7 linked regions of the Canis lupus familiaris genome follow. The main gene of each other region encodes a partner of the protein of the gene in region 2 in a complex. Links are inferred from orthologs where the notes say so. Each region holds a gene or a part of one and is shown on either strand. Other genes may lie near its edges. The genes, in order: DRC7, DRC3, TCTE1, DRC1, CCDC153, FBXL13 and IQCG.

What was found.
Region 1: DRC3 (region 2) and DRC7 share a complex: the UniProt entries of both Homo sapiens proteins name them as parts of the nexin-dynein regulatory complex. The link is inferred for Canis lupus familiaris from reciprocal best matches to the Homo sapiens genes DRC3 and DRC7.
Region 3: DRC3 (region 2) and TCTE1 share a complex: the UniProt entries of both Homo sapiens proteins name them as parts of the nexin-dynein regulatory complex. The link is inferred for Canis lupus familiaris from reciprocal best matches to the Homo sapiens genes DRC3 and DRC5.
Region 4: DRC3 (region 2) and DRC1 share a complex: the UniProt entries of both Homo sapiens proteins name them as parts of the nexin-dynein regulatory complex. The link is inferred for Canis lupus familiaris from reciprocal best matches to the Homo sapiens genes DRC3 and DRC1.
Region 5: DRC3 (region 2) and CCDC153 share a complex: the UniProt entries of both Homo sapiens proteins name them as parts of the nexin-dynein regulatory complex. The link is inferred for Canis lupus familiaris from reciprocal best matches to the Homo sapiens genes DRC3 and DRC12.
Region 6: DRC3 (region 2) and FBXL13 share a complex: the UniProt entries of both Homo sapiens proteins name them as parts of the nexin-dynein regulatory complex. The link is inferred for Canis lupus familiaris from reciprocal best matches to the Homo sapiens genes DRC3 and FBXL13.
Region 7: DRC3 (region 2) and IQCG share a complex: the UniProt entries of both Homo sapiens proteins name them as parts of the nexin-dynein regulatory complex. The link is inferred for Canis lupus familiaris from reciprocal best matches to the Homo sapiens genes DRC3 and DRC9.

Annotation. Positions count from the first base shown.
Region 1 is NC_049223.1:58,032,853-58,036,352, reverse strand, and holds part of DRC7 (dynein regulatory complex subunit 7), read left to right. Parts: intron 1-123; coding exon 124-196; intron 197-1,376; coding exon 1,377-1,505; intron 1,506-1,693; coding exon 1,694-1,822; intron 1,823-2,765; coding exon 2,766-2,986; intron 2,987-3,500. UniProt on the Homo sapiens protein: Component of the nexin-dynein regulatory complex (N-DRC) a key regulator of ciliary/flagellar motility which maintains the alignment and integrity of the distal axoneme and regulates microtubule sliding in motile axonemes.
Region 2 is NC_049226.1:41,745,246-41,749,379, forward strand, and holds the start of DRC3 (dynein regulatory complex subunit 3), read right to left. Parts: upstream 2,801-4,134; 5' UTR 2,646-2,800; intron 2,008-2,645; exon of another isoform or gene 1,896-2,007; intron 940-1,895; exon of another isoform or gene 804-939; intron 1-803. Other genes in the region: TOM1L2 (TOM1-like protein 2), read left to right, coding at 3,310-3,361. UniProt on the Homo sapiens protein: Component of the nexin-dynein regulatory complex (N-DRC) a key regulator of ciliary/flagellar motility which maintains the alignment and integrity of the distal axoneme and regulates microtubule sliding in motile axonemes.
Region 3 is NC_049233.1:12,894,819-12,899,038, reverse strand, and holds the start of TCTE1 (dynein regulatory complex subunit 5), read left to right. Parts: upstream 1-1,420; 5' UTR 1,421-1,533; intron 1,534-1,968; exon of another isoform or gene 1,969-2,082; intron 2,083-2,595; exon of another isoform or gene 2,596-3,309; intron 3,310-4,220. UniProt on the Homo sapiens protein: Component of the nexin-dynein regulatory complex (N-DRC) a key regulator of ciliary/flagellar motility which maintains the alignment and integrity of the distal axoneme and regulates microtubule sliding in motile axonemes.
Region 4 is NC_049238.1:20,544,127-20,548,217, forward strand, and holds the start of DRC1 (dynein regulatory complex protein 1), read left to right. Parts: upstream 1-1,291; 5' UTR 1,292-1,389; coding exon 1,390-1,544; intron 1,545-4,091. UniProt on the Homo sapiens protein: Component of the nexin-dynein regulatory complex (N-DRC) a key regulator of ciliary/flagellar motility which maintains the alignment and integrity of the distal axoneme and regulates microtubule sliding in motile axonemes.
Region 5 is NC_049226.1:14,710,436-14,712,809, reverse strand, and holds the end of CCDC153 (coiled-coil domain-containing protein 153), read right to left. Parts: exon of another isoform or gene 1,368-2,374; intron 1,355-1,367; coding exon 1,224-1,354; intron 925-1,223; coding exon 796-924; 3' UTR 501-795; downstream 1-500. UniProt on the Homo sapiens protein: Component of the nexin-dynein regulatory complex (N-DRC), a key regulator of ciliary/flagellar motility which maintains the alignment and integrity of the distal axoneme and regulates microtubule sliding in motile axonemes.
Region 6 is NC_049239.1:17,435,173-17,438,672, forward strand, and holds part of FBXL13 (dynein regulatory complex subunit 6), read left to right. Parts: intron 1-22; coding exon 23-185; intron 186-3,500. UniProt on the Homo sapiens protein: Substrate-recognition component of the SCF (SKP1-CUL1-F-box protein)-type E3 ubiquitin ligase complex.
Region 7 is NC_049254.1:29,439,350-29,443,523, forward strand, and holds the start of IQCG (dynein regulatory complex protein 9), read left to right. Parts: upstream 1-1,374; 5' UTR 1,375-1,444; intron 1,445-1,547; exon of another isoform or gene 1,548-1,810; 5' UTR 1,811-1,858; intron 1,859-2,040; exon of another isoform or gene 2,041-2,196; intron 2,197-4,174. Other genes in the region: RPL35A (60S ribosomal protein L35a), read right to left, coding at 167-319, 513-523. UniProt on the Homo sapiens protein: Component of the nexin-dynein regulatory complex (N-DRC), a key regulator of ciliary/flagellar motility which maintains the alignment and integrity of the distal axoneme and regulates microtubule sliding in motile axonemes.

The sequences.
Region 1 (3,500 bases), on a different chromosome or scaffold from region 2:
TGGGGGAGCTAGCAGCCACTGTGGCTTGGCCCTGGGGGGGGCAAGACAGAGGCTCTGCCTCTAGCTTCCGCTCCAAGGCCCAGCCCTGACCAGAGCCTGCCCCCTCCCCACCTCTCCCAACAGGGCAAGGAGGATGAGGATAAGAGTTTCGACATGCCACCCTCATGGGTGGAGCAGATTGAGATCTCCCCAGAAGGTACATGCACATTTGTGTTCCTTGCCTCCCCAGGACCAGTTAGTGGGGGAGCCAGTGAAGGCTGCCCCAGCCCCTCATTTCCACCTCTCCTGCCTTCTGCTGTGCCCTGATGCACCCTGCTCTGAACAGTGTCTCTGTTCTATCTACTTCCCGCCACATGCACTCAGCTCTGTGGCTGGGGGCCTGACACCAGTCTGGTGTACGGGGGAGGAAGGGAGGGGTGCCAGGTTAACCTGTGCTAGGTGATGGAGTGTGGATAATAAAGGACGGAGGAGAGGGATCCCTGGGTGGCTCAGCGGTTTGGCACCTGCCTTCGGTCCAGGGTGTGATCCTGGAGTCCCGGGATCAAGTCCCACATCAGGTTCCCTGCATGGAGTCTGCTTCTCCCTCTGCCTGTGTCTCTGCCTCTCTCTCTCTCTCTCTCTCTCTCTCTCTCAGTCTGTGTCTCTCATGAATAAATAAATAAAATATTTTTAAAAATAAATAATAAAAAAATAAAGGACGGAGGACCAGGACGTGGTTGTTGCCCTCCCCCACCCCCCTGCCAGGAGGAGGCCAAACAGCATAGTACCCAGATGGCAGAGGGGAGCAGAGGCATCAGGACCAGGGAGGAGCAGCTCCCCAGGGAGGAGTAGGCAGAGAAAGCAGCAGGGAAGGGCCACTTGTGAGCCACGCCAACATCTACTGGCTGTTGAGGTTCCTGTCTGGGAGGCCTAGACCCACACGGAGGGCATAGGGTATTCCAACAGTGGGAAGGGCTAGAGAGGGCATCATGGGAACCAGGGGAGGAGTTCCCAGCCCAGCTGCCCGCTTGGGGACTGGGAGAAGGTGGGCAGGAAGGGCTTCCAAGAGGAGGAGGAGTCTGAGCAGGGTTTTAAGGGATCAGAAGCCAGCCCAGTAAGGGCAGGAGGGGATGGTGATTCCCGCAGAGAGACCTGCACAGGCAGAGGCCCAGCAGCGAGTGAGTGGTGTGGTAGGGCACAGCTCCCGTGGTCAGGCTCAAAGCTGAGAACTCCTCCAGGGCAGGAGCTACCCTGGTGACTACTTCCCTCTGTCTCCCTGGAGTGGGCTTGGGGCCTGGAGGAGTTTAGCACAGTGACCAGATGAGTGGCTGAGTGGGGTTGGCCCTCTAGTGCCCCAATCTGGGGAGGCGGGACCCCAGCCCACTCTGTGTCTGCAGCGTTCGAGACCCGCTGCCCCAGTGGGAAGAAGGTGATCCAGTACAAGAGGGCCAAGCTGGAGAAGTGGGCCCCATATCTCAACAACAATGGCCTCGTGTGCCGCCTCACCACCTACGAGGACTTGGAGTGTAAGGCGGGCAGCCCCGGCCGCGAGGGCAGGAGAGCTGGGTTCCCCAGTGGGCTATGTGACCTTGGGCACGTCCCTGCCAGGCACTTGTTGTGCGTGTGGGCCCCCGCTGACCTGTGTGCCGGGAAGGGTGGGACAGAGGCTGGGGGAGCCAGCCTGGCTGTGGCAAGTACTGATCGTGCCCTGCAGGTACCAAGACTTTGGAGATAAAGGAGTGGTACCAGAACCGGGAGGATATGCTAGAGCTAAAACACATCAACAAGAGCACAGGTCTGAATATCGACTACTTCAAGCCAGGCCATCCCCAGGCTCTGCGTGGTGAGTGGAACCCGCTGTCGGTCCCAGTGGGAGCCCAGGGTATGACAAGCAACATAAGCCCCCACCCCTGCCTCCCTAAGCAAACCAGATGTGCACGAGGCCAGGGGAAGTGCAGAAGATGTGACAAATGTCCCTCCAGGAAAGTCAAAACCAGGGCCACATGCCCATTCTGTGCTTAGGGCTAGGCACATGCTGAAGGCCACCTTTCTAAGGGGTCAGGACACAGAGCAACAAAACTAACAAATGCCCCCACAAGGGCGATGCGGAGGGCAGGGGTGTGGTCATGAGCCCAAGAGGCAGGGAAGTGAGGGAAGGATGTGTCTTGAAAGAATCAACAGCCCTAACCAAGGACACAGAGAAGAAAAGCCTAGTGTCATTATATATCCTTTAAAAATGATCAAACTCACTTGATGGCTGAAATGAAAGAAAAAGGAAGGAAGGAAGGAAGGAAGGAAGGAAGGAAGGAAGGAAGGAAGGAAGGAAGGAAGGAAGGAAGGAAGGAAGGAGCCGTTTTACAAACCTCATGTTGCGAAGATGACAAAATGGTCCTACCGGTGTGTAAGCAAAGCAGCAGAGAGTTGCTCCCTGTCACTGCTCATAGGACAGCAAACTGGCTCAACTTTTCGAGAAAGTAGTTGGGCAAAATAATAATAGCTTTAAAATACATACGCTTTTCGACCAGCTGTGCTACCTCTGAGAATTTGTCCTGAGCAAATACTGGGCAAGAACTAAAGAATGTTCACCCTGGTGTTGTTTCTAATGACAAAAAGGTGAGAAACAACCTGAACACCCAGCAGTGGGGCATTGGTTCCATAAGTCCTGCTCATCCGCGAGCATCCATGGACATGCCTTCTCCCTGGGGCCCGGGCCCGGGTTCTCAAGCCAGGGGCCAGCGCTCCTGGTCTCACCCCGCTGCCTTCCCGGCCCCCGCCTCCCACCACAGCGCACTCGTACGTGTCTATGCAACCCGAGATGGACCGGGTCATGGAGTTCTACGAGACAGCCCGTGTGGACGGCCTGGTAAAGCGGGAGGAGACGCCCAGCTCGATGACGGAGCACTACCGAGGACGGTCTGACTTCCTCTCCTACCGCCACGTGGATTTTGGGCCCAGGGTGAAGAAGTTGGCTCTGAACAGCGCAGAGTCAAACCCGCGGCCAGTGGTGGTGAGCTGTCGTTGGGGCAGGCACAGGGCGCCCGCTCTCTGCGGCAGCGCTGGAGCCACACCTTCAGGAGGGGGCACCTCCTGGTTATAAAGCGGGAGAGATTGTGCCCCCTGCCACTGTGCCATACGTGCACACTAGAACGGTGGCTCTCAGATACTACTGTGCCAGTGTCCATAGGCTTGGTTCTTGGGAGTCTTTTCTAACCTATTTGAGATGTGTGTGTGAGCGAAGGTAGGACCCCTGTATCGCTCACCTCACATTGAATCGGCCCTTTTCCCTCCACATCCCTGCAAATGACCTGGCAGCTGTGGCTAATGGCTGTCTACCCAAGGAGCTCTTCCCAGCAGGAAGGGATGTGTAGTGATAAAGCAGGGCGCCTGGCGAGGTGGTGAGCTCCCTATCTCTGGAGGTGAGCAAATAGAACCCTGTGCGGGAAGAGAAGAAATGCCGCAGCATCAGGGCTGAGGTGGCCCGGCTGAGGACCCACGGGGCCCTGGGGAGCCATCGGCGGCAG
Region 2 (4,134 bases):
GGCTGACCTTGGGCTGCTGTTCCTGGCTGGACAGAGCCACAGCCCTGGGAAGCCTGAGCACCCCTGACCTCATTCTCATCATTACCAGCCTAAGAGTGAGAGCATCCAGAAGGGCTGGACCCTGCAGGAAGTCGCACTCTTTTGGAAGCTCCCAGGTTCAGCCCTTCCTTCTTTCCTCCTGTTTCTTGCCACCATTCCCCCTCCCCCCACTGGCTTCACCATCTACCTTTGCCCTCCTGGTCCCCCACCCAGGCCTCTTCCCTGATGCTGGGGAGTCCCTGAATTATCCCACTGAACACCACTGGAGGGACAGCTGGTGTTGGGTTGATGGTGTCCACTGCAAACTGGGGTGGCCTGGCAATCCTGCCACCTGGTCTTAGAGGCTGCCACTGCCCTCCTTGCCCGCCATCCACTTGGACGCAGCTTATATAAACCTGCATCTTCCATTTCTGGGCTGTCTGTGATCTAATGGCCTTGTGCGTTTAACTATTGTGAGTCTCTTCCTTCTGCCCCTGAGGAGACACAGCCTCCTTGGACCCTGCTCCTGGCCCCAAGCGCTCCCCCCCACGCCCCTTCTCACCTGGGCCCTCCATCCTCCCACCCTCTCCAGTCTCAACATTGGCTCCAACTTCTTAGAGGGAATGAGTCAACTCCCAAAGACGTTTCCAGCCGCCCCTCCCCCCCATCTCCCCACTCTTTTAAAACAATCTTTTTTCTCTAAGATTTCCCATAACCTGACAAGGTTGGTTGACACCAACTTGCCTTTGGGGAAATTTTAACGTGCGGTATTTGGCAGATGTTACCTGCGAAGTGTTTGTGCTTTCTCAAAGAAAAGTGCGGTGCTTTGGGAAATGCTTCTTAATTCCGATTTCAAAACTGTAACTGACTTCTCATCACTCCCACTTCATCGGGGCCTGGCACCTGGGACAGATCAGGCTTGCTTCTGTCAAGCCCACAATCACTATTCAATGTGGAAGAGTCGTTAGGCATGCTTTTTGTTAAGCACACGAGGGTAGGATTTGGAGCCTGGGTGGGCATCCTCTGACAACGAACCTCACCTTTCTGAGCCCTTGACTTACTGTCTGTAAAAATGGATAAGTCCTCCCTCCTACATTTGTTTAAGATCATTTATTCAGCCCACACACGTGTAATGAATAGCTACTACGTGTCGGGAATAAAACAGACCTCCTCCCCTCTGCAGACGTGAATCAGATCATTGTACAAATATTTAATTACAAACCATGACAAGTTTGTAGATGTAGGGAACTGGGACATCATATGTGAGGGGTGCCTGGCCTGGCAAGGGGAGACAGGGCTGAGATCTGAAGGGTGAGTAGGAAAGATGGAAGAGTGAAGGGCACAGCCAGGGCCCTGAGGTGGAGTGCACGAGCCATGTTCCATTTGGGCTGCAGTGAAGCACGGCTGGAGGGGCCTGCAGGATCTTAACACCTTCGGATTCCTGGGAAGCTCCTGGGGCTTAATTAATAAGGGCAGTGACGTGAACAGCTTTCACTTTTAAGAGGCTCACTCTGGCTGTCGTACTGAGAACAGCAAGAGTCATGAGCAGGGTAGTGGTAAGATGTGGCTGTGAGAGATCTCGAGGATTTTAATATGTAGGACTAATCATTGGCAGTTTCCAGATGAGGTTAGGAAGGTTAAGTAAGATACCAATTTCATACATCGATACGGCATATGGCAGAAGCAGGGAGATGTGATTCCAGAGCCCATTTTCTTAACCATGACACAACCGTATGCAGGGCACTGTGGATTTTCATTATCACAACCCACGAGGTTTCTCACAGCTATTCCCAGGCAGGGCCAAGGCCCCACCGCTCCTCCACTAAGGGACTTTTTGTCAATAATTTACCACCCAACCTGGGTTCCTGATGACTTGCCTGACAACAGTGTTGGGGAAGCCCAGAGGTAGCGGTTGGGGAAAGCAGTGGAGGGCTCTACACCACTGCCAATAGAGCAGACTCCTCACCGAGAAACAAAACCAGGACAGCCCTGTGAAACAAGAACTTGTGATCAATTGAATCAGAAAAACATTGCCCCTGCTGGCAGTGGATTACTTAGAGAAAATCAACGATTTACTGAGTGCTTGCTGGGTACTAAGTACAATTTCATTACTTAATTCCATGTCGGCTCTGGAAGTCACTGGAGAAAGGGGTGCTAGTTCCCCCATTTCCCAGAGAGAGAAACTGAGGCCCGGGAGGGGAAGGAAATTGTCCAAAGTCGGACAATGAGCTACTGAGAAGAGACAGGCATGAAACTTGGGTAGCTATATCCCAAAACAAAATACTTTATGGAGCACCAGGTGAAGAATACAAAGAACAGAAACAATTTTATGACAGTCAAGAGGTCGGATCTGAGGGTTAAATACGTGAGGAGCTCATCAGTGGACCGGGTACCTCTGTTTCGATAAAAGGGACCAGGCCAGGAGGCCCGGGGGCGTCCTTATTATTTCCTTCTCATCCAAAGCCCGAAAGCCCAGGGTCCCGGCGCAGCCGTGAAGCGGCTGGCAGAGAACTGTGTGCTCATCTACAGGTGAGGAGGGCCGGGTCGATTCCCAGAGAAAAAGGCCGGAGGAAAGAGCTAAGTCCGCCCCTGCTAGTCCTCCCGCAGCCTCCGCTCCAAGGTCTCACCGTCTCAAGCGCCTGCCACCCGACTGCTTCCACGCAAGCCGACGCTTCGCCCGGTTACTAAGGGAACCAAGCTCCGCCAGTCGGTTGCTAAGGGGAAGTCGTCGAGTAGACATCCTGGGTGAAAGTTGACGGTCACGTGACAGTATTTCTTGGGCGGGGAAATACTCTTACGACCAACCCGCAGTAGAAAAAACAAACGTTTCTCCAATCAGCACTGTCTATGGGCAGGGATATCAGTAGTCCCGCCTCTCCCCCGCCCCCACTTGAGTGATTGACTCGTCTCCTGGCCAGTAATGTAAGGATTCGCTAGATTGACCAATATATAGATGAATCACAACACTCAGACTCTCGTTCGGAGGCGGGCCTTTGGAGGCGCCGCTACGCCTGATGGAGATTCCTGTGACCTAGCTCGCCGCTCCGCCCAATCGTCTGCCGCGGGGTAGGCGGGGCTTCGCAAGGGAGGCGTAAGGGCCAATCCGGAGAAGGGCTAGACAGACGCTGCCCAATGGGGACGCGACAAGGGGTGGGGTCAGGGGCCGGGCGTTCGGCGTTCGGAGGGTGGGGCGGGGGCAAGTGTCAGTCAGGTCGGGAGCGCGACCGGGGACAGCGGGGACCCGGGCGGCTGACAGGGGGGCCCGGGCCGCTGCCGTGCTGTCCGCTCAAGATGGAGTTCCTCCTGGGGAACCCGTTCAGCACCCCGGTGGGGCAGTGCCTCGGTAAGGCCGCGCGAAGGGTGGGCCATCTGGGTGGGCGACGGCGGCGGCTGACGGGGCTGGTGAGGACCGCGGGCCTCTGCCGGGCACCGGTGCCACCCCGCGGGCCGCCCGGGCATCCTTGCCGTCGGGCCTCTGCTCGCGGCGCCTGTGTCACCCTGGCGGGAGGCGCCCCAAAGGCCAGCGTGGACTCGGAGATGCTCCGTGCGGCCCTCCCGGATTCGGGCCCAGCCTCTCCCGGCTCAGAGAGGGGGTGCGGGCTGCTGGGGTCGGCTTGCCTCCTCGCCTGCTGGGGATGCCACCGAGTGCGTCCGCGTCCAGGCTGACGGTCTCGCAGCCACTGCCGCCAGGACCCAGGGCTCCCGCACCCTTCTCCCTCCATCCTTGTCCGTCTCCTCAGTACCAGCAGCCCTCAGACCGGGCACCCTCCCAGAGAATACTCCCTGCTCAGAGACTTGCTAATTAGAGCTGCAGCTCAGCGAGGCTGTAGGAGGGACTGGGATGGGGGGAAGGGTTCCCCGAGGGTGATTATTTTGGCAGGGGGACGGCATCCCTGCACTGCCTCGGGGAGAGAAGGGAGGCTGTGTGTTTTAACGATAAGAGCCCTGGACTGGGAATCAGGAAGCCGGGGATCCAGTAGGGGCTTCGCCAGTGACTCTCCCTGTATGACCTTGTGCAAGTCACTGCTCTTTCCGGTTTGATGTTTTCCCTGTCTGTCAAATGACCTGTGTGTGTGTGGAGGTGAAGTGTGGTAGGTCCCTTCAAGTTCTAAAGTT
Region 3 (4,220 bases), on a different chromosome or scaffold from region 2:
GGGTGACTTCGTTGTTTCCTGGGAGGTGGCACTGAGTGGAGGGTATCTGAGGGAACAGTGCCCCAGACTGAGGGCACAGCCAGTGCAGGGGCCCTCTGGGGGAGGTGAGCCGGTGCAGTGAGTGGTAAGTGGCAGGTGATGGGGTCTGGAGAGCACAGGGGCCAGAGCCACCCAACTCTTTAAGACAAAGTGCAGGGCACGGGCCCCAAGCCTGAGCTGAAGCTGAGAAGTGGCAGCTCAGAGTGGGAGGAAGCCGAGAGCCAAAGGAACCCTCCTTCCCTAACAGGATGGATGCACTCAGGACCAAGCCAGACTCGGGAGCTCCACCTCTGTTCCCAGCTCTCTGTTGCTAGAGGAGGGAAAGGATCTCAGGAGATCCATCTCCAAGTTAAAGGCTCCCTGGTGACCAAGTTCCGGGGCCGTTTAGTTAAAATTATAAGTGTAAAGCACGGCTTCCCACATGATTTCTCATTCTAATTGCAACAGTTAAAGGGTTTGCGAGGGACCAGTCCCCACCGGAATGGGATGCCGGGGATTCCTTCTCGCTCAGCCCTGTGGGCTTGCAAAGCTGTACCTCCGGATCTCGGCCACTGCCACAGTGGCCACCTCTCAGTGACGCTCACTGGAAGCCCAGCTCTTTACTTTGGACACAGGGTGAGGAGTTGCGGTGACGTTTTACGATGAGTTATCCGAGCTTCTAAGATGTTAACTTACCCATGGCAACAGACTAGTAACTGGGAGAGCTGAAGGTAAAGCTAAACTGCCTCCATGTGAAACGTCCTACCATCCTGGTCACCTCTCCCCTCCTGAAGGACAGTTCTTATTAGCCAACCCCCCAGGTTGGTCCTTCCTGCCCGTCAGGAGCACCACATCCTGCCGCCCAGAGCTAAGGGGGACGGGGGGGGGGGGGGGGGGGTGACATAACGTTTAGTGCTGTGTGAAGGAGCGCTGTGGAGACCTGGAAACTTCCTGCCTGGTGCCTGACATCAGCCTTGTTCACATCCTGGAGAAAGGTGGAAGGTACCACACTGCAAGGATGCTGCAGCCCACAGCTCTCCTGCAAGGCTCGGGGCAACAGTAGGCCCCAGAGGAGATCCGGTAACCCCTGCAGGTGCCCTTCCACCTCCTCACCTTCCAGAAGAAACTGCGGATGCTTTTCCTTTGTCCATTCGTCACCGCGCACCCCGGTTCCACACAGAAGGTACCAAGAAGGAACAGCACTCCAGTCCGGAGCCCTGCCCCAGGCCCTACTCCTCCCCCTCCCCCAGAAAAGCCCATCTATTCCCAAGCGCGCTCCCCAGAACCTCGGAGCACGGCCCCCTTTCCCCCCACCCCGCCCCGCCCCTCCCCTCCCGGTTCCCAGGACCCACCCAGCGGCTCGCCGCGGAGGCCCGAGCGCACGCGGATGTAGGCGCGCACATGCGCACCCGCCCTCGGACCCGCCCCCTGGCGACGCGGGGCGTCCCTAACGACCGGCGCGGCTGCGCGGTGGGCCTGCAGGAAGGGGAGCGTCCGGCCTCGAGAGTGGGTGAGGTGAGCCCGGGAAGACAGCTCAAGCCCGGGCCTCCCTTATGGGGCTGAACTCCCCCTGCCCCCGCTCCCGCCTGGCTGAGATTGGCTTGGCTCTGAGCCCCGTCTGTCCCCACAGGAGACTCCCCACCCCACCCATTTGAGGCGGGACCCTTGCTTCTCCGCTAAGGTCACTGCATATTGGCCCAGAGGTTTAAGGTCTGCCAGTAAAGGGGTGCGGGGTTGGGGGGGGGGACACCACGAGAAGGAGGAAGGAGAGTGTGGGGCATCGGGTAGGTCGTGGAGGAGAGCAGTCCTGAGCCCCGGAGGAGCCGCAGGCTTCTCAGAAAGACGGACTCCCATTCCCAGCTCCTGCAGGCTGCAGTCCCTCCTACAGGTCCAGAAGCTTCAGTACCTCCCTTCCTCCCTCCCTCCCACAGCACGGCTGGTTTCCCTTGGTTACTAAGGAGCCGCAAGGGCCTCCTCACCCCTGGCAAGTTGGGGGAGGGACTCGCTGGCCTTTGGAGCTGAGCTTCCCTGCAGGAGTGTCTGAGCCCAAGGCAGGAGTAAGGGGTGAGGAATGAATACTCTGGAGCCCTTTTTAAGACAACAGACCCAAGTGGTCAGGAGTTGGGAGAAGGGCCAAGCCCAGGGGTGTGATAAGTGTGCCATCTCACTGGGGCCAATCACCAAGCATGCTGGGCCCAGGCTCCATCACAGAACTTTGCTGTCCTTCTTTTGTGATTTCACAAACTAAGAATTCCCAAGTGGGAATTTGGGAGGCATATGGCCGGAGGTAGGGTCTGATGGAGGCATGAAAGAGATCAGGAAAGTAAGACAAAAGCCCAGGGCCCCTGAGGACAGATGCCCAGGGAGGGGTCTCCTCTGGGATCCTAAAGTGAAGGAGAAGCTGGCTGAGAAGTCAGAGGAAGCACAGAGGGAGAAGTGGGTAGAGGATATAACCCATCTAGCCGAGCCAGCCCAGAAGGTAGTGTCCAAGGGGCACAGAGATGCTTCGGCTCCTCAGTTAAGAGGAAGGCAGGTAAAAAAAAAAAAAAAAAAGAGGAAGGCAGGTGAGAATGAGGACCAGGGATGTGATGAGCAGGAAGGGGAGAGAGTTCTCCCCCAGCCTCTTCAACTTTCCCCTTCAGGCAGTGGGGAGAACCGTCTGGCTACAGTGGTTAGATTTAACTGGAGACTTGAGAAGAATAGAGAAGGTTTGAGACGTCCGAGAGGAGGGAATGTGCTAGAGATTCAGGCACTGAGTCCCAGGTCTATGAGCAATATCAAGGGCCCAATGTGAGCCATGGAGCAGGAAAGTGCAGCTCTACAGAATGTTCTTGGGTCCCTAGAGGCCTCATGCTGAAGGATTCAGGCGACGGTCCAGTTCTGTGGAAGGGCCTCATGTCTGGCAGTGACTTAGGGGGTGAGGGAGTCTGGGCTGTTTAGGCCAGCATCTAAAGGGTTACCCCAGGCTTCACACTGGTGACAGGATGAGAAGCGCCCATGAGCTGCAGAAAATAGGAGGCCCGCTGGAAAAGTGCCATGAACAACTGAATCTGGACAGTTTAGGAAGCAATCCCAACAGCTTATTATTTCTATGCTTTTGTGCATGGAAGTGACAGAGAGCTTTGAATGGGTATCAGCTGAAACTTTAGGTCTCCCACTTACTAGCTATGTGATGCTTAGCAAGCTACTTATGCTTTCTAAGCTTGTTTCCCCATTTGTGCAATGGAGATAATAGTGTCATAATAGCAGGAATAGTCCTCAATTGAAGGAAGATTGAATGAACATACCTAGGTAAGTCATGTCACATCTTCATCACAAATCTAACACATATTTTGAAGGGTGGCTCTGGGCCCAGCATGACATGAATCCTCTTACACACATCAGCTCCTTTAAAATCTTCTGGATAATCTTAGGAAGTAGACACTACTAATTTCTACCCCCATTTTACAGATAAAGAAATGGAGGCTTAGTAGGGTGAAATGACTTCCCCAAGGCCTCACAGATGCTCCGGGGTAGAGTGGAGATTGGCCTTAATGCAGTATAATTCCTAAGTCCTTACCAGCTGCCTCCTGCTGTGCAAATGCTTTGAGAGCCTAAAACTCCATAAATCATAGCTGTGTATAGGCAAGATATGGTTCCCAGGACACTTGTCCAGCAGATGCAAGCCATCAAAAACAAGGCCAAGCTGGCCGAACTAGGGCATGTTGTCACTTAATATTACCTGTGCTTGGGCACATAGAGAATAGACTTTTACACCCAACCCTTTGAGTTATGGCCTGAATGTGATTTTAGGACCCTGGGCCCTGGTCCTAAGGACACAGAACAGAGAGCTGGTTGGGAGAGGATTGACCTTTCTACAGGGATTGTGGTCCTGTGTGGGGTTAGGCTGGATGATGGCTGGAGACACAGCATTGTAAAGCCCAACAGGCCTGTGAAACCTGTGCCAGGAAATGAAAGGTCACAGGACATGTCCCCACCTTCCCCATCCTAGAGTAAGCTGTGCATTTCAATAGGGGCACCAGGTGGTGGCACAAGAAGTGATCACTCCCCATGGCCCTGACTTTCTCTCTGGAATATGAGAAAAGAGAAGGATCAGAGTGTTCAACACACTTTCAGTCTTCATACTCTGGGATTCTCTGTCTACCCCATAGGTTCCCTAGGGAGAAAAGCTCCAAAGAGGAAAGTGGGTGCCATTTCTGGAG
Region 4 (4,091 bases), on a different chromosome or scaffold from region 2:
CAATGATGAAGCAGCAGAAAGGATTCAATCTCATTTATAGTTGTACCAAAACCAATAAGACACCTAGGAATAAGCCTAACCGAAGATGTAAAAGATCTGTACTCTGAAAACTTTAAAACACTGATGAAAGAAATAGAAGATGAAACAAAGAAATGGAAAGACATTACATGCTCATGGGTTGAAAGAACAAATAATTAAATGTCTGTATTACCCACAGCAATCTACACATTTATTGCTATCCCTTTCAAAATACCAACAGCATTTTTCCAGAACTAGAACAATCCTAAAATTTGTATGGAACTACAAAAGACCCCAAATAGCCAAAGCCACCTTGCAAAGGAAAAGCAAAACTGGAGGCATCACAATTCCAGACTTACAAGTTATAATTAAAAGCTGATCAAAACAGTATGGTACTGGCACAAAAACAGACACATAGGTCAGTGGAACAGGATAGAAAATCCAGAAATGAACTCACACAACTATATGGTCAATCTTCAACAAAGCGGGAAAGAATATCAATGAGAAAAAAGTCTTTTCAAACGATGTTGGGGAACATCTCTCTAAATATGAGATCTGAAACCATAAAGCTCCTAGAAGAGAACACAGGCAGTAACTTCTTTGGCCTTACTTTGTGCTCATTTTTTGACCATATGTACTAGATATATTTCAAATAGAACTTGGATCACATTCTACACATTTGTGTTACATCCTTTCTTCCTCATTTCATACATCTTTAGGTCTTTGTAGGTCAGACCCATTCTTAGTAGCTACATTGTTATCCATCCCGTGAAAGCTTTATCAATCCCATTTTTTTAAAAAAGATTTTATTTATTCATGAGAGACACAGAAGAGAGGCAGAAACACAGGCAGAGGGAGAAGCAGGCTCTCTGCGAGGAACCTGATGTGGGGTTGGATCCCAGGACCGCGGGATCACGATCTGAGCCAAAGGCATGCTCAACCACGGAGCCACCCAGGCGTTCCTATCAGTTCCCTATTGATGGATTTCAGGGTCACACTAGTGTTTTAACATTATAAATAACTACAGCGAGCATACATATACATCTGTGTACACTTCTTTCAGCAAACACTAGTTGAGCACTTACTACATATTAGGCATTATGCTCGGCGCTATTTGTACAGTGCTGAACGAAACTGATGTAATTTTCACCCCACTAAGGTAGAGCCTAAGTCCCGTTCTCTCTCCGGGAGAAGAATACAGAACCCAGGGGGGCGTGCAGCCTCAGGTGGGCGTGGCCTGGGAGCTGTTCGCGCGCGCTCCAGCTGCGGGTCAGGTGCCTGCTTTTCCCTGGCGACGACTTGTTGCTAGCAACGGGGCCGTGGTCCGGCGGTGGTCCAGGCGCCGCGGGCCTGGGGCGGGAGGCACCTGCCATGAATCCGCCGGGATCTCTGGGGGTTCTGGAGGAGAAGGAGGAGGAAGACTTGTCCACCCCGATTCTCGGGCCGTCCATATACTCTGACAACCCTCAGGAGCGGATCCAGGCCCGGCGCCTCCGCATCGCGGCGCGACTGGAAGCCCGGAGGCGGTGAGCGGGGGTCCGGGCGGTCGGCAGCGGAGGCGGGGACCAGGCGGGCGCCTTCCCGGGGCGGGCGGGGCCCACGTGTGAGCGCAAAGATAGGCGGTGAGCTAGGAAAAACTTCTTCCGGAAGGTTCAACCAAAGTATGGGATATGAACACATTCAATACACTTGTGGAGTCAAAGACGGAAATAATAGTCTCTGCAGCAGGAAGTTTTTAAAAATTTATTGAAAGCCTGCTGTGCCATGCACTGCGAGCAATGGACTGCAGACACAGGCCATCCGTGACCTCCTCTCAGAGGTCTTTCTTTCCTCCTTCCCATCCCCACCTGCCTGCCTTCCACAAGCATTTCTGGAGTGGACCTCAGCTGTCACTTCTGCTGGTCTCAGTAGCTTATCTGGTTGTATGACACAAACCCTCATTCCTGAAGGGTCTGTGCCTGATAATCATACCCTTCTCAGGACAGGGTTGTTGCACCTGTCTACTCATAGGCACAGTGGGCTGTCACAAGAGGATTCTAAGAGGCACCTGCATGATCTTCTGAATTCCTGAACACCCTCACTGTGTAAGAGCACTTGTACCCTGTCCTGCTAGCCAGGGTCACCTATCCTACCAAGATGGTGACTTCTTGTTTGCTGGCCATTAGATCACAGAGTGGTATGGCTGTGTTCCAATAAAACTTCACTTTAAGGGATCCCTGGGTGGCACAGTGGTTTAGCGCCTGCCTTTGGCCCAGGGTGTGATCTTGGAGACCCGAGATCGAATCCCACGTCGGGCTCCCGGTGCATGGAGCCTGCTTCTCCCTCTGCCTATGTCTCTGAGCCTCTCTCTCTCTGTGTGTGACTATCATAAGTAAATTAAAAAAAAAAAAAACTTCACTTAAAGACGTTGAAATTTGAATGTCATATAATGTTCATGTGTCACAAAATTTTCTTCAGATTTTGATCTTCTTTTCTGAATTCATTTTTTAAGAGAAATTTTAGATTCACAGCGAAATTGAGTGGAAAGTACAGAGATTTCCCATATACCACCTGCCCCCATGCATACACAGCCTGTCCCACTATCAACATCCTCCAGAATGGTACATTTGTTACAAATGATGAAACTCGGGCAGCCTGGGTGGCTCAGCAGTTTGGCACTGACTTCGACCCGGGGCATGATCCTGGAGACCCGGGATTGAGTCTCCCGTCGGGCTCCCTGCATGGAGCCTGCTTCTCCCTCTGCCTGTGTCTCTGCCTCTCTCCCTCTGTCTCCCATGAATAAATAAATAAAATCTTAAAAAAAAAACAAAACAAAACAAATGATGAAACTCCATTGACACATCATCACCCTAAGTTCATAGTTTACATTATGATTCACTCTTGGTGTTCTATGGATTTTGACAAATATATAGTGATATGTGTCCACCATTATAGTATCATATGGAATAGTTTCATTGCCTTAAAAATCCTTTGTGCTCTTCCTATTGATCTGTTCCTTTTTTTTTTTTAATCATTAAAAAGTGTAAAAATCATTCTTTTCTTATGAGCCCTACAAAAACAGATGGGTCATATCTAGCTCTCAGGTCAATCTTGATGTAGTGGATCAACGTGATGTTCTCTGGGGTATCCAAATGGTCCTGATTTATTCAGTCTATGTTTTGACAGAGATCAGGAGAATCAACATGACGCTGTGAGTGTGAGAATTATATGTGTATATATTATTGTCTGTTCCATGTAAATGTGAACTTCTGATTCTTTTTCCTGATTTAGGTAGAAAATAATACATTTGACCCAATCAGCAGCCACCTTGTATGTACATAAGACCACTCTACACTGCTCCAGCAAAGATACCACATTTACATGGCAACAGCAATGAGGCCTACTACTTGGTTGAGCTTGCAGTATTGATAATCATATTCTCAGATGCAACCAGTTTTTGCAGGGACCAGACCCGTGAACTAAATGGAAACATGATGGGGGGGGGGGGGGACCACCACTCCTGTATCCTTGAGATCCTTAAGGGTGATACTAATTTCCACCATCCCCACTCCCTAGCCCCCACTTTGTGATTGTTTTTATGTATTCAGGTACAGTTTTAAAGATGTCCACTTGGCCTTCCCTCCCATGATAACTCTTACCCACTCACCAACAACTTAATGTGGGAATTTCTCAAATTTCTAAGTATGTTAAGATCACTCTGATTGCTGTCTGAGGGATTGGTTTGCAGAAGCCAGAAGTATAATTGAAGAGGACAGTTAGGAAGCAGTTGCATTGGTTCTGTGAGGGATGAAGTTGGTCTGGTGGGTTTGGAGAGAAAGCAGATGTAGTCAAGAAATGCTTTACAGCTTAAACTGACTGGATTTACTGATTTTAGATATGCTAGTCAAAGACAGGGAAAAAGCAAGAATGGCTTGAACAGCTGAGTAGATGGTAGTGCCTTGCATTGAAATGATAAAGATGGTGATGGGGGAAGTGAGTCAGGAGGATTTGGAAATCAAGAGTTTGGCTTTGGACATATTCAGTGAAATTGGATTTTGGAAGACTTTAAAACCAAGATGTCCATTAGGCATTTG
Region 5 (2,374 bases), about 27 Mb from region 2:
ACCAGAAGTAAAGTAGTATTGGGAATGTTGTAAAATAGAAGAGCAACACAGTGTTCCCTTTATAGGTGGGCTATGGGATTGGCTAGGATTGAAGCCATCTGGAACTTGCCTTAGGCATGACTCCTGGACTCCCCCCATATATTGCAAGAGTTTGGAGACCAGTTACACCTTCTCTCTGTCAGCACCTTAGGATTGTGGGGGCTGGTGCCTGGTCACTGCTGGTCTATTAAAGAAATGGCCTTGCCCCCACAAATCTGGCTACCTGTGTTGGTGCCGGGGAGGGGTGTGGGTAGTGGGAGTAGGGGATGGTGATTTGAAAGGACCCAAAGGGCCCAAGATTCAAGGCATGGGGCCCAGTTTCTCTAAGAGAGGAGTTGAGAGTTTGTCAAATGTCAAATTTCTATCCTCTCATTCAATCTTCAGAGTAATGGGTCCGCCAGAACCAACATGCCCTCAAAGAGATATTTGTATCTGTCAAAAAGGCACAGACCACAGTTCTGTGGAGTTCTACATCAAGACAGCTTTATTGCTGGAGCCTCTCAGAGGCCCAGAGACTAGAAGCTTACAGCTTTATTTTATTTTATTATTTTATTTTTTTAATGTTTTATTTATTTATTCATGAGAGACACAGGGAGAGAGAGAGACAGAGAGAGGCGGAGACACAGGCAGAGGGAGAAGCAGGCTCCATGCAGGGAGCCTGACATGGGACTTGATCCCGGGTTTCCAGGATCAGGCCCTGGGCTGAAGGCGGCACTAAACCGCTGAGCCACCCGGGCTGCCCCGAAGCTTACAGCTTTAGAGATCCAGGGGGTTGAGTCCAAATTGGTGGAGCTGCTCCTTGTACTTGGCGTGAAGTCTCAGCACAGCCCCATCCCACTGAGGCCTGACTGCTCTCAGCTTGGCTAAGAGTTGGTCCAGGTTGCCCTGTGGACACCAAGCTTCAGGCTCCAGGAAGGGAGAGAGGGTAGAGCAAGGGTTTCCCTGGGCTGGTCTGCGAGCTTTCCTCCTAGCATCTTCTTCAGGTTCTTACTCTTACTAAGTAAGTGTGGTTGCGTGCCTTGGCTGTCTGCCCTCGGGGCAGAGCAGGGTTCTCTGTGGAGATGCTTCTCCTCCCCCCTGGTCTCCCATTGATGACAATGATAGTATGAACTAGTTGGGGTTCAGGGGAATGGGGGAGTCCTAGCTACTGGGGTGGTAGGGCTTCCAGAGGTGGTGGTGCTTACATGTAAGATTTCCTCGTACTTGGCCTCCATGTCCACTACATGGGCCCGAAGCTGAGCCAGAGTCTGGTCCCGCTCTCCGAGGGCCCGTTCAGCCTCTTGCTGCGCAGCCTCAGCTTCCCTCTGGCACGTCTCTGCAGGGCAGGGCGGGAGGAGGAAGGGGACTGGGTAGTGACATTCTACTTGTGAACAGAGTCTCCAAAGACACCTCAAAAGCAGAACTTGAATGGGATCATTCCAGACTCCCCCCCCCAGGATCATCAATTTTCCCATAGTTCGTATAAAGATCTGACATATACCATTGAGGTACAGCAGAGAGAGCAGTAGGCTTGGGATGAGAAATGTGCGTCCAAAGTCTGGTTGTCACTTACTACCTGTGTAACTTTGGGTACATCTCTCTCTGAGACTCAGTTTCTTCATCTTTAAAGAGAGATTGATACAAACCTTACAGACTTATTGTGAGTTAAATGTGAGAGTGTATGGGGAAAAATACCTAGTATGTACAGGAGGTGCTCCATAAATGCTGATCGAATTTAAATTTGAAATAAGGCAAGGATTATGAAAGGAATTCAGGGTCCGCATGGCAGATAAGCAACTCTTGGGTATCTGTAGCTAAGCTGAGGCTATTTTAGGGGCCCCTGGCTGACTCTTGGTCTCAGGGTCATGAGTTTGAGCCCCATATTGGGTGTGGCGCCTAGTAAAAAGAAAGAAAGAAAGAAAGAAACTGAGGCTATTTTAGGTTAAGGAAACTCTGAGGTCACAATTGTGAAAGATCTTATGTGTCGTGCTAAGATAGTTCAACTTTATCCTGTAACCAAGAGAGAAAGGAAAAACTTCCTGTCCTTTACATTTTTGCTTCTCTAAAAGGTTTATTCTTTGATTTAGCAAGTAATTATGTAGGGCTTGGCATGCCCAAGGCATTGAGGATATGAAAATAAATAAGTCAAATATCTTTTCTTAGTTTGCATTGTAAACATCAGCTAAGAGGGAATATGTTTTGAGACGCCTGGGTGGCTCAGCAGTTGAGCATCTACCTTTGGCCCAGGGTGTGATCCTGGAGTCCCGGGATTGAGTTCCACATCAGGCTCCCCATATAGTGACTGCCCCCCTCTCTCTGTGTCTCTCATGCATGAATAAATAAATAAAATCTTTAA
Region 6 (3,500 bases), on a different chromosome or scaffold from region 2:
CTGTTTGTTTGTTTTAAAACAGGAAATAAAAGGATTACTGATGCATGCTTCAAATATATACACAAGAATTATCCAAACATCAATCACATTTACATGGTAGACTGCAAGAGAATAACAGATGGTAGCCTTATGTCGCTTTCACCTTTGAAGCAACTAACTGTGTTGAATTTGGCAAATTGTATAAGGTAATGAGTCACTCAGTTATATATTCAAGAAATATTAATTATCTAGAATGTGCAAGACCCTCTCCTCAAGATGCTCACTGGTCAGTAAACATGAAAATCTGTGGCAACACCAAGAAGGGGCACCCATGTGGAATCATGGGCCCTTAAAAGATTAAATGAATTCCCAGGAACACTTAAGGGCTACTTTTCCTAGTGAGGGTTCTCATGGCTAGTTCAGTTAACAGGCCTTTTCCCAAATGGGCTTTGTTAGCTGCTTAGGAGGAATCAATCTTACTGAAGGGTTTCCTCTTGAGTACTGGTTAGATTTTTCCTCGTGTGGATTCCCTAACAGATGAACAGATGACAAATTCTTAATAAAATAAAAGTTGAATTTCAGCCTCATATTTCACTCAAGTTTCTACAGATTAACTACTTTAAAAATAAATGGAGGTGGGGATCCCTGGGTGGCTCAGTGGTTTGGTGCCTGCTTTCGGCCCAGAGCATGGTCCTGGAGACCCAGGATCGAGTCCCACATCGGGCTCCCTGCATGGAGCCTGCTTCTCCCTCTGCCTGTGTCTCTGCCTCTCTCGCTCTCTGTGTCTCTCATGAATAAATAAATAAAATCTTAAAAAAAAATAAATGGAGGTTTTCTACTTCCATAGTTGACAAAACATTTCAAACGACCCTTTGCCACAATTTATATCCTTGATGAAACATACTTTAAATACATTGCTGAACCCACAAAGAGTAAGAGAAAGCTCTAATATCTAATATCCTGATTCTGCACCAGCCTCTCAACAAACATACTCTGAGATGAATAATGAATAGCAAACAAACATAAAAGGTATTGCTGCTCTGAGCATAGATGTTTATGTCACCATTGCCTAGGCTCCTGCAAGAAGTTAATTCAATGCTTCCCCGGAGGAGAGCATTTTCTATTTAGGCCTCTAGGATTCCTCAGATTAAGAATAAAATATAGCTGCTCACAATTAAAAATTGTTATGTATGAAGACATGAGACACCATGAAAAAGAGTCACCAGAAACAGCAAAATAAATTTGACCTTCAAATAATTCAGATATTGGAGTTATCAGGCATAGGATATTAAGCAAATGTGTATGAAATATCTGAAGAAATTAATGAAATCAGAAACATTAGCAGGCAACAAAATATGATAAAATATTTTTTTTAGAAAAAAACAACTTTAAAAAATACAAAATATAAGAGTTATTGAAATAAACTCAATGGATTTCCAGATAGCAGATTAGAACTCACTGAGGAGAAAAGTACAGAGATGGAAGATAATTCCTTTCATGATAGCAGAGTAAAAAAAAAAAAAAAAAAAAAAAAGATAAAAAATAAAATATGAAAGAGTATATCGTAGGATAAAAAGACAGAGAAAGTTTAGTATAAAAGTTTCAGATTAGATTTTAAAAAACTCATCTATAAGAGATAAGCTTAAACAGTAACTTTGAGAGTCAGAGAATATACATTTCCCTCAACACACATCAGTCCTTTTTAAAATGGACTATGCATGAAGTTTTAAAACAAGTTTCAACAACTTTTAAATTATAGGTATCAACAAACTCTATTTCTCTTACTACAATGCTATTAAATTAAAAACCAGTAATGAAAAGGTAAATTAAAAACATATACATGTTTTAAAAGTAAAAATTCCAGGGTATCAGAATCACTGGAGGAGCTGAATAAAACTACAAACACCTAAACCCTACCCTAGAGCTACTGAATTTGAATATTTAGGAATGGAATCCCAGATTCTGTATTTTTTTTTTAAAGGATAGTCTTTTTTTAAAAAAAAGATTTATTTATTTATTTATTTATTTATTTATTTATTTATTTATTTATGATAGACATAGAGAGAGAGAGAGAGAGAGAGGCAGAGACACAGGTAGAGGGAGAAGCAGGCTCCATGCCGGGAGCCCAACGCGGGACTCCATCCTGGAACTCCAGGATCACGCCCTGGGCCAAAGGTAGGCGCCAAACCGCTGAACCACCCAGGGATCCCCTGTATTTTTTTTTTTTTTAAACAACACAGATGCTTTTGATGAACAGCCAGATTTGGGACTAACTACATTAACCAATTAACTGGGAACATTAACTGAATAATCCTTTTCTATTGACTTTTGATGCCTCCTGGATTATAATATAAAATTATATATACATCTTTGCAAATTTTAAAAATTATTTATTTATTTATTTATTTATTTATTTATTTATTTATTTATTTAAGAGAGCATGAACAGGGGACAGGAGCAAGGGAGAGGGAGAAATAAGACCCACTGGGCAGGGAGTCCAACTTGGGTCTTGATCCCAGGACCCCAGGGTCATGATGCTTAACCAACTGAGCCACTCAGGCACCCCTGCAATTTATTTTGTTGTATTGTCATTTTATTTTAAATGTGTTTCTCATAGACTACTTATAATTTAGAGTTATTTGTTAAACCAATTTGACAATCTCATCTTTTAATAGGAGATATTTTCAACTTATTTATATTATTATAAATTATTATAAAACTAATATATTAGGACTTCTTTGTGTTCTATGTCTCTACTATTTGTACTTTTTACCTTTTGTTTTTATTTACTTTTTCTTTTTTAATGTATGGAGTATGTTTTGCTATTTTATTTTTTTATTTTTTATTTTTTTAAAGATTTTATTTTATTTACTCATGAGAGATACAGAGTGAGAGAGAGAGGCAGAGACACAGGCAGAGGGAGAAGCAGGCTCCATGCAGGGAGCCCGACGTGGGACTCGATCCCTCGTCTCCAGGATCACACTCTGGGCTGAAGGCGGCGCTAAACCACTGAGCCACCGGAGCTGCCCTCTTTTGCTATTTTAAAGGCTTTTATATGTCTCTGATTATTGCTTTATTTATTGTTATATCTCTCAAGAATCCTCTTTATTTAAAGACTGAATCCTGGTTCTTCATTTTTTATCTCATTTATTTTTAATTCTTTACCCTTCTGCATTTCAAAGGAACTTTTCAAATATGCCTTCTACATATTCAGTTTTCTAAAAGGGTCAGTTTTGGTTCTGATGACTTAAATTAGGTTATTATACTTATCATTGAATTTTTAGTTTCTTTGCCATCTATTCTTTTTTTCTTTATTAATTTGAGTATAGTTGACACACAGTGTTACATTAGTTTCAGGTGTACAACTTAGTGATTTGACAAATTTATACTTTATGCTGTGCTCACTATCTGTATATAGCTACCATCTGTCCCTTTACACCATTATTACAATATCATTAACTGTATTCCTATGCTGTGCCTTTTATTCTCATGACTTATTCATTCCATAACTGGAAGCCTGT
Region 7 (4,174 bases), on a different chromosome or scaffold from region 2:
ATAAATAAGTAACATCTTCAAAAAAAAAAAAAAAAAAAAGATTCAAAGTACGAAACACAAAAGTACCAACTGCTTTGCCAACATCTTTTGATTCTTCTCCTTTGAATAGGAAAATGCGACAAATCTCAACTAAAAAATGCAAGAGGCATTAACACTATGAACTTACTTCTTTGCTTTGTAGACATAAGCACATCGCTTGCCGAGATAGAACTCAGTTTCATCTCGAGCATAAACACCTTCGATCTTAAGTAGAGCTGTGTGCTCCCTCTGGTTCCGGAGACCCCGTTTATAGCCGGCAAAAATGGCCTTGGACCAAAGCCTGAGACAAAATACAGAGTGACCATAAGTCGTGCAAAGATCTGGTTTCACTGGAAGAGCTCACCTGTAACGAGCTCTACTCAAAAGTCACCTGCAGCGAACATCTAATCCCCCCTCCCCAAGTTTACAGCAAACGTTTGATTTTTTTTTTTTTACAGATGCAAAAAAAAAAAAAAAAATCATAAAGTCTGTACCTTCCAGACATAGTCGTCGCTTTAGGAGTCCTGGTCCCAGCAGGCCTTAAAACAAAAAGAACCAGTTTAAAATCTTGCAAAAGCACGTTTCCCGCCCAGTCCGCTCTCGGTAGCGCTCGGCATCTGACAGGAAGTCTCTCCGGTGGGAGACACCTCGGGCAGGACGGGCTTCGTAGTCAAGGAAACAGCTCCTGGAGACGCCGAAAGGATGCCCCGAGCGGACTCAGACCACGCCGGGTAGGAAGGGGGGGGGTGGGGGAGGAAAGAAAAGCGAGGAATCGGAGAAGCACACAAAACAGAGGCGGAAGCACTGAATGGGAAAAGCAAGGCTGAGGAAGGGGAGCTCGTAGACATAACCAGGTCTGGAGTGGGAGCGTCTTGACGGAAAAATAAAATAAAATAAAATAAAATAAAATAAGATAAAATAAAATATAAAAAGGGCTCATCCTAAGGGAGCCACTGCCTCAAAACGGGCGAACGGCCTTTATCCCTCCGCTAAGGCCCAAGCAGCAACGGCGATGACGGGAGCGCCGGTTCTCCGGGAGTCCGGGCACCAGCACCATCGGCCCCGCATCTCCGCCATCCTGGCCTCCCCGCCGCTGGAATCCACGGCGCTCGCTCGCTGACACAGCCTCCGAGCCGCACCGGCGCCCCGCCGAAGCACAGGGCTCGTCTCACCGCACTTAATCGGCCCCCAAAGTTCAGGAGCGGCGGCTCTCCTCACCTCCACAGGCTCCAAGATGGCGGAAAGAGAGAGGCGAGGCCCCGCCGCGCGCGTGGCCTTGTGGGATAAACACCTCTCCGCCCCGCCCCCCCCGGTTTAGGCGTCTAACGCAACCGCCCAAAAAAAAAAAAAAAAAGAAAAAAAAGAAAAAGCCTCAGCTGTTGTCTTTGACTGAAAGAAACGTCTACATTCGAGAGCACTCTTACAGGTCTTTCTCTGAGTGCTTTTATCTTTGAGAGTTGTAATATATGTGGTATTTGAAACAGAGGGAGGCAAGAGGATAGCCAGCTAAAGGAGGACGAGGAAAGGTCCCCGGAGCTTCGCGTTGCCATAGAAACAGCAGGGCTTGGTTCCTGCAGCCCGGTGCAGGCTGCCGCCCCGCCTCGGGGACCCCAGACTGGATTCGCTCACGTGGGAGCATCTTTCTCTCTTACTAGGAGTAGGGAGGATGGAGACTCTCGGGTCCTAGCGCGGAAGAGAAAGGGCAGGAGCACGAGGGCAGGAGGAGCTCTTCTCTTTACGCACCCCCCCACCTCACCCCTTTCCTCCTCCTCCTCTCTTTATCTCTTTGCAGAAACGTCCTCCAAGTTCCTAACCTGCAATCCTTCGTTTGGACTCCAGAGTGAGTATTGCCGCCTTTTAAAGAGCAGCTGCACGGGTAGCTGTGGGGCGCCCAAGCACCGCGCCTGCGCGAAGTGGGTCTCTAGCAAATCCTGGCAGGTGACGGGAAGATAGGCTAGTGGGCGTCTGACCGTTGCAGGTTTATTTGGGTTTCCCTCCGGGTTCATTCATTTGTTTCAGCAGTTTATTGAACGACTACTATGTACCGAGCTCTGGTCTTGGCTCGGAGGACCCTGCAGGAAACGAAACCACGGAATTCTCTGCCCTCTTGAGCTTACAGACCTGTCCTAGGAAGGGAAGTGAGACTCTAAGCAAGCACAATATATGGCACATGAGCAGGTAACATGAGAAAAATGTTCTCTATGGAGAAAAAAAGAATGAAGCCAGGATGCCACTGTAAAGAAGGCTTTAAAAATATATATATAATTTTAAAAATGAAGAAAAGAAGGCTTTTACTCTGAGATGAGAAACCAATTTGAGCAGTTCTGTATGGAGGGGAGACTCAATCTGACTTCCATTTTAATAGGGTCATTCTGTTGAGATGGAAGGGAAGCAAGAACAGCGCGGAGATCCATTAGGAGGCTCTTGCAATGATCATGATAAGATCATGGCTTGCAGACAGGGGTGATAAGTACTGGACTTCTGAATATATTTTAAATGTAACGCTGATAGGATTTGCTGATGGGTAAGGAATGGGAGAGAAGAGTAAAGGATGACCCCAAAGCTTTATGAGATATCTATAAATCATATTTAAGGTCCTCTCTTAAATACATCAGGATAGGGGATCCCTGGGTGGCTCAGCAGTTTAGCGCCTGCCTTTGGCCCAGGGCGCAATCCTGGAGTCCCGGGATCGAGTCCCACGTCAGGCTCCCGGCATGGAGCCTGCTTCTCCCTCCTCTTGTGTCTCTGCCTCTCTCTCTATATATATATCTATCATTAATAAATAAATAAATAAATAAATAAATAAATAAATAAATAAATAAATAAATAAATAAATCTTTTAAAAAAATACATCAGGATAGAGTGTAGGTACCTTACGATCCACTCCCTCTATCCAGTTTTCTCTGTCCCAGAAATATACTAAAAATCTCACTATTAAATGTACTAGAAATCCAAATGTTAAGTAGTCCTGAGAGGAATAAAACCTTAAAGGTGAGTTTCGTTCCTTTGTTCATTCATTTGTTCTACAAATACTTCTTGAGCACAGTGCTTGAAACAGGATATAACAGTGAGCATCACTATCACGTTCCTGCTTTCATGACACTTAAAAGCCTAGTGGGGGCAAAACAGTAACATTACAAATTGTGAAGAGAGCTCTGTAGGAAAATAAAAGTGCAGTGATTGACCAGAGGACTCCTGATCCAGCCTGATGAATGAGGGAAAGTGTCACCCGCAGAAATGTCCTTTAAGGCATTTTTCAAATTGCAGGTGTAGGCCCAGTAGTAGATTGTAATTATAATACTTTTTAGGCAAAATATATGATAGAATCAAAAGTATCAGAATATGGCACATGTTTTTTTTCTTTTTTTTGTTTTTTTAATTTTTATTTATTTATGATAGTCACAGAGAGAGAGAGAGAGAGGCAGGGACATAGGCAGAGGGAGAAGCAGGCTCCATGCACCGGGAGCCCGATGTGGGATTCGATCCCAGGTCTCCAGGATCGCGCCCTGGGCCAAAGGCAGGCGCCAAACCGCTGCGCCACCCAGGGATCCCAGAATATGGCACATGTTAAACGTAAATTGGTATATGAAACTTGTTTCAGTTATTTGCCTGTATGCATACTTAAGTATATGTCTGTGTGTGCACAGTGTATATAAAAATCTGTGTATATAGGTCATTGCATCAGTCAGTGTTGCCCTGGATGGAAACAATGATAGAGTTCAGAATTTCATAAAGGATCTGTGTACAAAACTGTAGGCAAGAGTGAAATTCTAAGGGATGACATAGTCTCCAGGGACGTAGGGCAGAAATAGTTACCCAAGCCCCCAAGCAAGAGCAACGTAGAGAATATTGCCTGACTGGTGCCATGGCCTTTGACAGAGAAACTTAGCCCAACCAATGATGATTTGGCAGGGAGGGAACTGGGAGGATAAACACTTGATCTCACTCTCCTACATTTATGGAACCTCCTGTTGATGTGCCCCATATGGGTCAGTCTCTTGGGGTATAAGAAATGGTGAAGATTAGATTTAGAAATGACAGATACCTAGCAAAATGCCACTGATTTAGGCTGGTACCTGATGGACCAGTGGGACTTTACAAGATGAAGAGTGAGGGGAAGAGTGGTCCAAATAGAAGGAATAACGTGTGTAAAGAC